2 linked regions of the Mus musculus genome follow. The protein of the gene in region 2 interacts with the protein of the main gene of each other region in a biochemical or structural test. Links are inferred from orthologs where the notes say so. Each region holds a gene or a part of one and is shown on either strand. Other genes may lie near its edges.

Region 1 (4,354 bases), on a different chromosome or scaffold from region 2:
CACAACTACTAACAAACCGTAACCACCACCACCACCCCCAATGATCAACAACCACCCCTGCCTCTCTGCACATACCCTCTGAAAAGTTCTCAGAATTCCAAATACCACCACAGAAACTATCAAACATATTTGCCTTGTGCTCTAGCAGGGACTAGCAAAAACCACGTCCCCTGTCAGAGCACAAGGCAAATATCATAGCCAGCTGTTGTGGACAATCTGAAGCAGCCCCAAATCCCACACCTGGGATCAAAATGGAAATATGTTCTTAAAATTGTTTTCTGTGTTAAAGAAGCCAAAATTCCAAAATTCTCACTACAGACCATCACAGAAAACCATGACAGGACACGGTGCAGAGATCAGCAGGTGGTGAGGGGCCTAGCCACAGTGGCTACCTCTACATCACAGCTCCTGCATCTATGACTCAGGACACATAAAAAAAGAGGGGGGCTGGAAAAACCGTAAGAGCTGCAATACCAGGATGTCTGGTGTGAAACAGTCTCATAGAAATGGTGGCAAAAACAAGATCTAAACAATGGCGATATCAATATGCTAACAGAGAAGTGAGGCTATGCCATACAAAGTGATCATCCTTGAAATCATGTACATACAAACATAAACAGATTCAGCAGGTTGTAGTGTATCTATGCAAATATTTGTAACTATAACAATTAAAGAAGATGAGACCATCAGTCTGAGTGGGGGACATGGGGAGAGCTGGGTGAAGGGGCCTTCGAAAGAAATGGAAGAAGGAAAAAGTCAGAAGAAGGGGAAGTAATTATACTTTAATTAAAATGTATTAAAACTTTTAAGTTAACTTTTTTAAAAAGTATAGGACACTACGGTGTTAGCAGTTTAAGCACAGTTCTACCTCTGACATGAATCCCTATCTAAGCAGAGTGAGGGAGGTGCATGCAAAAGCACGTGAGAGTAAAAGGGGCATGAGCAGCTAAAGCCAAAAGAAACTTCAGAGGAAGAAATGAGTAACCTGGAGAGCGAATCCAGGAAGCCGCAATTGTTTCAAACCAAGCTCTAAGAACAACTAGGGCTTGAGAAGTGGATAATAAATCCAAGGAGTCTTCAAATGACCTTACCAAAGGCACAAAGACACGGGTCCCCCCAAACTGAAGTACAGGCTAGAGGGCCGGCACACATAGGGCAGGCGCCTTTGATATATGCCTTTGACAGTATGCTTATCTAGCAAGATGCCACAATAGGAAAATTCATTGCCCAGGTAACAGTAACAATAGTTATGTCCCGAAAGAATTAGAAAATTCTGAACAAAGAAAATCAAGACAGGCAGGACCTATAACATTCCACTGTCTGGGTAGCAGAGTCAACTGCAAACCAGAAGCGAGCCCAGCCGACTGATGGCTAAACAGCGCCTCACAGAGGCCACCAAGGTAGCAGAAGAGTCCTAGAAACTACAACTCCCAGAGAGCTTCGGGCGAGGGAACTACAACTCCCAGCAAGCCCAAGGAGCGACACTCTTTGTAGTTCCACAGATCGCCCTCACGTACTGTCTTCAGACCTATTGGGACACCTGGCGCATGACCCCGCGTGGATGAGGAGCGCCCGCCCAGAGTCCCTGGAGGCGGAGCTCGAACCTCATTGGTAGAAAGGCGACCCGAAAAGAAGAAACTGATCTTGACAATCTCCGAGTGATTGGAGTTGATGGGACCGGGGAACAGCGAACTAGGCTGCTGACCAATCAGCGTCCAAAAGAGAGACCAGGGAACCAAGGTTCTGCGGTCACACGCCGCGGAGTCTAGTGGGAGGAGCAGTTGCTCAGCAGGCTCTCGCTGCTTCCTGTTTCCGGCTTCTGGAGCGGGGCGCATTGAGGCGCCTAGGGAAGCGCTGGCTTCAGAGAGGAATCGAGGGACTGGGGTCTGCGCCCCCGCACCCCTGATCTCCGGACGCGTCTTCCAACCTCAGAGACACATTCTTGGGGGCTTCTGAGCCGCGGTTGCTCTGTTTTCCCGTGACACGTGAGTGTTGGGGGCGTGGAGGAAGCGGGCTGGGGTCCTCGCACACCTCTGTACTGAAGGAGGTGCGGACCAGGACTCTCGCTTGGCCGTGGTTCTGGCTGGAGATCCTGCTAGGGAGCCCTAGGGAGGACTTGAGGCAAAAGGCATGAGAACGGAGAACGCCAGACTTCTAGGAGTGAGGAAGAGGAGTTCCAAGATCAGAGAGGGATTTGAGATGTTTTGAAGGTTGGAAAAGGAAAGTGCTCATGTGTGAAGTGTTAACTGGATTCTTGTAGAGAGAATTTTGACCTGTATCGTGGGAGTAAAGTGGCGTCATGGCGTCATTTGGGGGTAAGGTATGACTTTGAGTAGATAGAAGGCGAGAATTTCCAGACTCCTGGAAGAAGTTCGAGGAAGGTCTGTTAGCATGGTGTGGAAAAGAGTGACAAGAGTGTCTTGTGTTTCTGTGGAGACTTTGAAGCACAGAACTACCTCCTTGGGGCACTTTAAACATTGGGCCTTTCTGCCAGTTGAGACTGATCTTAAACGTGTTGGCTGCAATGAACCAGGAGGAAGAAAATAAAGCCCTCCATTAGAAAATGGAAAACGGCCATGAGTGGAAAAATGCGTGCAGGGCTGAATGAGGTCAGCAGTTTCCCAACCCCTAACTTAGTCACTCGGCGTCCTATAGAGAATGTTTCAGCATTGCCACTAGATCTGTCTCTATAGAATAAGAAAGGGGAATTCTCAAGAGCCTAAGATCCTGTTTTACAGCGTCTGAGAGTTATAAGTGCTTGCACTCTGGGGATCTCTTTGGACCATGCTAAATAGGAACTGCCCAGCTTTCAGTTTTATCCTGCTCTCTATTTGGGCCTGTATTTATCAGAAGTTTGACCACAAATGCCTTCATGGCATTAAGTCATCCAGGTTGATTTAATATTTGTGTAGCCTAGGACAAGTAACTCAGTGAGCAACTCTAAGCGTCAGACCCCTCATCTTTTCTAGGCTGTGTAACTAACACAATGCAGGCATAGCATTTCAAACATACACCACACTGAATCAAGGAGAAGCAGCTCAAAATTAGACTCAAATCTTAAGCTGGGAGAAGTGTAAAGTTATTCTTCTACTAACTTTTTGAACGTTTAAGCAAATGACAAACAGTTCCACTCATCCAGTGCCTACCGTGGCTTGTTTTAATTTTTTCATCCTGTCCCAATTTTGTGAAATTCTTTGCCCTAATTTGGGAAGAGAAAGCAGCAACAGTTAACAAATGAGGAAATAACTTGGAGGCCAGAGTGCACAGCATTCATTCTGTGAGAGCATCCCTCCAGGATATGTCCTGGGGAGCAAGCGCCTCAGAGCCCAGAATGTTACTTTTTTTAAATTAAATCCTGAGAGAACTTGCAGAAAATGGCACCGAGTAGGTTAACAGAGGAGCTCTAGGTGAGGTGACCGGTTGAGCAATAGCTGAGCTCAGGGGAGGGGAGAGCTTAAACCTGGGCTCCTTGTTACAGTTAACTTCCAACTTCCTGGTCTGTTTTAAAAAGGAGAAAGGCAGCTCTGGGTTGGCTCCCTTCTGGATAGATGACTCTGGAGCCATCCATCTTACTCCATTAGCTGTGTCAGTGGCATTTGTTCTGTTTGTCCTGTAATTTTTACTTGTGAAACAGAGACCGTTAAGTTTAATACATGGTTTGGAGAGGATTGACTAGTTAATGTCTGGTAGCATTTCAGAGAGTGCCTGGCTGAAGGCTGTCCCTCTGCTGCACATGTTCTGTAATGTCCTATCTGAGATGAGTTAGGAGTGCCTTTGACCTCTTGGCTACGTGTGATTACTGGGTGGAAATAAATGCCTTGTAAATGTTTGTATTGGTGAGTTGATGTGGGGGGCGGGGGAGTATGGGTAAGTGTGTTACCCTCCCTGCATATGGGAAATGGAAACTCAGATGTACCTTTCAGGGAGAAAGGGAAATGAATTTAGAGCACAGGGTTAGAGCTTTCACTCTCTTGTGGAGAATGTCTGGAAGAGTTAACTGTCAAAAAAAGAGTAAAACCATTATAAAATAAACAATGTCAATGGCCTGAAGGGTTACTAATAGATACTAGTAGAAGCCTTGTGCAAGCATCAGTCACTATGGCCTAACTATGAAGGTAGCCAGCTTTTCAACATTGAAATAGAACATTGTCATCCACGAATATGTTGGGCTGCATTCACAGGTATCAGGGGATATATGTGTCCAATGGGCCATAGTTTGGATGGGCCTGTTAGAATAATACAAACAGAAAGTGAACTCAGAACTTTAGAGTGTAAAAAGACAGCCATCTTACTGAAAGTTTAGCTGGCCTTAAGATTTGTGACTTGAAGGGGCGAGGTAGATTTAGGAAGACTT
Region 2 (3,595 bases):
CCTGAGAGGGCTCCCTCCTCTGCCCACAGCCTTCCAAGTCCTTTGGTGGAATCTTTCCATCCACCTCATAGGTCCTAGAGATCAAACTCAGTCAGGCTTTGCAATGAGTACCTTTAACCGCCTAGCCACCTCTCAAGTGGTATGCCAACTTCTTTTTTTTTTTTTTTAAAGATTTATTTATTTATTATATGTAAGTACACTGTAGCTGTCCTCAGATACTCCAGAAGAGGACATCAGATTTCGTTACAGATGGTTGTGAGCCACCATGTGGTTGCTGGGATTTGAACTCAGGACCTTCGGAAGAGCAGTCGGTGCTCTTAACCACTGAGCCATCTCACCAGCCCGGTATGCCAACTTCTATAGAGGTCTCGATTCCTCATGGTTGGCCGTGAGCATGCAGCGCTACAGCTTCAGTGTGGCAAAACACCCACTCCTGCAGTGACTCTCTGCAGGGACAGAGCTGGCTGCTGCACCTCTGCAGCTCCCCCACAGATGGCAGGAGACGCTACCAGCCTGGGAGAGGGTGGGGTGTACAGTGAGAAAGTGGGAAGGTGCTCCAAAAGCGGGGCGGGGGACATGCATAAAGAGGAACCAAGGCTCTGTGGGGGTGGCTCTCATCTGAGCAGCCTTGGTTTTAACCACTGCCCTCCTAGAGGCATCCCTGGCTGTCCTATAGGACCCAGGTGGCTTCTCGATAGAGAATAGCAGAGCCATGTGGGACCTAGCTTTGAAACCCAAGCAAGGTGGCCTGTGCCTATCATCCCAGGAAGGAAGGGGCGAGGCGAGAAGATGAGAAGTTCTAGGCCAACCTAGGCTACATAGGAAGACCTTGTCTCACAACACAATCAAGCTTCAGGCTGGGGCTATGGTTCAGTGGATAAAGTGGTCACTTAGCACACACCAGGTCCTGGGTTCTGTCCCTAGCACAGCAGCCATGTGTGGTGTGTACCAGTCACCTGGCACTCAGGAGGTGGATGCAGGGGGAGCGGAAGTTGGAGGCTAGCCCCCCCTCCTTCCCATTTCAGTTCAGGCCAATTGAGCTGCCTGCCTGTTCCTCTCGGTGTCCTGCCAACTCTCTGTCCATGGATTGCTGTCTTTGCTTTGGCTTGGAGCACAAAGCCCCTTTCACTTTCCCAGATGCGGTCCCAGCTTCCAGGAGAACGGCCACACACCAGCTGGCCCAAAAATGTACCATAGAGAAGTGAGAAGGGGATGGATTTTTTTCTTTTCCTTCAAAATACAGAATTTTACCAGGCATGATGGCACACACCTTTAATCCCAGTATCAGGAGACAGAGGCAGGCGGATGTCTATGAGTTTGAATCCAACCTGTGTTACATAGTGAGACCCTGTCTCAAAAACCAAACCAAACAAAAAGTCCTAGGATTTGATTTTTTTTTTTTTGTCTCTGAACGTCTCAGCGGCCTCTCAACTGATGGTGGTGCAGAGGCCACAGCTCCACAGCTGTGTTTCTGTGTCCCAGCCAGTCTGACCCCTGCTTTTTTTTTTTGTTTTTTTGGTTTTTCAAGACAGGGTTTCTCTGTATATCCCTGGCTGTGACCTGGAACTCACTCTGTAGACCAGGCTGGCCTCGAACTCAGAAATTTGCCTGCCTCTGAGACCCCTGCTTTTTGAAACAGCACATCAGTGACTTAGGAGGACTCTGATGTGGCTAGGCTATCTGGTGGCTCTAGGAGTTTATCCTCCAGTCTCCACCACCTGCTTTTCAATATATATACATACATATATATGTGTGTGTGTGTGTGTGTGTGTGTGTGTATAAAGACCAAATATATATACATATATGTATATATATGTGTGTGTGTGTGTGTGTGTGTATGTGTGTGTGCATATATATATATATATATATAGTCTTTTTCAAGACCGGGTTTCTCTGTAGCCCTGGCTGACCTGGAACTCACTTTGTAGCCCAGGCTGGCCTCAAACTCAGAAATCCACCTGCCTCTGCCTCCCAAGTGCTGGGGTTAAAGGCGTGAGCCACCACTGCCCAGCTGCTTTTCAATATTTTAAAATCTATTTCATTTTAATGATATGAGGTATGTATGCTTGTGCTAGGTACACACAGAGCAGCCAGAACACAACTTTTGGTAGTTGGTTCTCTCCTACCATGGGATCCACGGGTTGAACTTGGGTCATGAAGCTTGGCAGCAAGTACCTTGGTCTGCTCAGCCATTTTGCGGGCCCATCTTTGTTTTCTAGTTCTGTAGACCCGAGAATGAACCAGCTTCCAGATAGCCGCTCTACTACTGAGCCATACCATCAGCCCTCTTTTTTGCATTTTTTTCCGTGACAGGGTCTCCAGTAGCTTAGGTTGCCAGAGACTTGCAATCCTCCTGCCTTGCCTCAACTTCCTAACTGCCTGGCGCGTGGCGTTGTGTGGCGTGGGTAATGTGAGCAATCTCTCCCTCTGTCCCTGCAGCTCTGATTGCCACACCCCCGGAGGACTCGGACATGGCCTCACTGCAGCAGCAGCGACAGGAGCAGAACTACTTTGTCCGGTTGGGCTCTCTCTCTGAGAGGCTGCGCAATCACGCCTATGAACACTCCCTCGGCAAGCTGCAGAATGCCAGGCAGAAGGCACAGGAGACGCTGCAGCAGCTAACAAGTGTGCTCGGCCTGGTGAGCCTCCCCGTGTGGGTGTGGCCGTGGCTGGGGCCTCCTTCTTGCAGCTCAGCTCTTAAGTGAGCTGAGATCTCACCCAGTGGCAGGTGGGCTGGGCTGGTTCCCCTGGGCTGGCTTCCTCTACACCTTAGTGTATCAGTCAGCTCAGGCTGTGTAACAAAGTTCCTGAGTATGTAAGGCCTTTTTCTCTACCCGGCTGGATAGGGGTGCTGGTCGCTGCTGGGTCACTAGGCCAGTGAGAGCAGCTAAGACACATGCATAGTATTCCACCTTATTCATGTGAAGTCGATGTGGTGGGCAGTGGAGCAGGGTCTAACCTCAGCACTGCCCAAGGAGAAAAATAAAAGTGTGTGTCTCCTTGGTGTATGCCTCTCATTCAGGCAGAGACCAGCCTGGTCTACATAGTGAATTCCAGGCTAGCCAGAAAAGAAAAAACAATGAAAATGAAGAGCCCCCCATCCCTGCATTGTCCCGGCTGGAACCCAGTGTCTGGGATATGTTCTCCCTCTAATAGGGCCCCTTTCTCTGTGCTGTAGATGGAATCCGTGAAACAGGGTGTGGACCAGAGGCTGGGGGAGGGGCAGGAGAAGCTGCACCAGATGTGGCTCAGCTGGAACCAGAAGACCCCACAGGATGCTGAAAAGGACCCAGCTAAGCCAGAGGTACCTGCTGGGGCCCCCGGGATCCCCATATGAGTGTCCATGCCCTGTTCAGCATAACTCATGCTTCCTGTCCCCAGGGCAACCACAGAAACCATGACAGAATTCTATTTTGTTTTGGCTTTGGTTTTTAATTTTTGCATTTTTATTAGTATTACTGGGGTAAGGTGGTGGTTTTGGCTTGGCTTTTTTTTTTTTTTTTTTTTTTTGGTTTTTCGAGACAGGGTTTCTCTGTATATCCCTGGCTGTCCTAGAACTCACTTTGTAGACCAGGCTGGCCTCGAACTCAGAAAT

What was found. The genes of interacting proteins can lie anywhere in the genome.
Region 1: the proteins of Plin3 (region 2) and M6pr form a complex in vitro, tested with the Homo sapiens proteins (2 studies listed by BioGRID). The link is inferred for Mus musculus from reciprocal best matches to the Homo sapiens genes PLIN3 and M6PR.

What each region holds. Positions count from the first base shown.
Region 1 is NC_000072.6:122,307,182-122,311,535, forward strand, and holds the start of M6pr (cation-dependent mannose-6-phosphate receptor precursor), read left to right. Parts: upstream 1-1,538; 5' UTR 1,539-1,985; intron 1,986-4,354. UniProt on the Homo sapiens protein: Transport of phosphorylated lysosomal enzymes from the Golgi complex and the cell surface to lysosomes.
Region 2 is NC_000083.6:56,280,451-56,284,045, reverse strand, and holds part of Plin3 (perilipin-3), read left to right. Parts: intron 1-2,439; coding exon 2,440-2,639; intron 2,640-3,178; coding exon 3,179-3,304; intron 3,305-3,595. UniProt on the Homo sapiens protein: Structural component of lipid droplets, which is required for the formation and maintenance of lipid storage droplets. Required for the transport of mannose 6-phosphate receptors (MPR) from endosomes to the trans-Golgi network.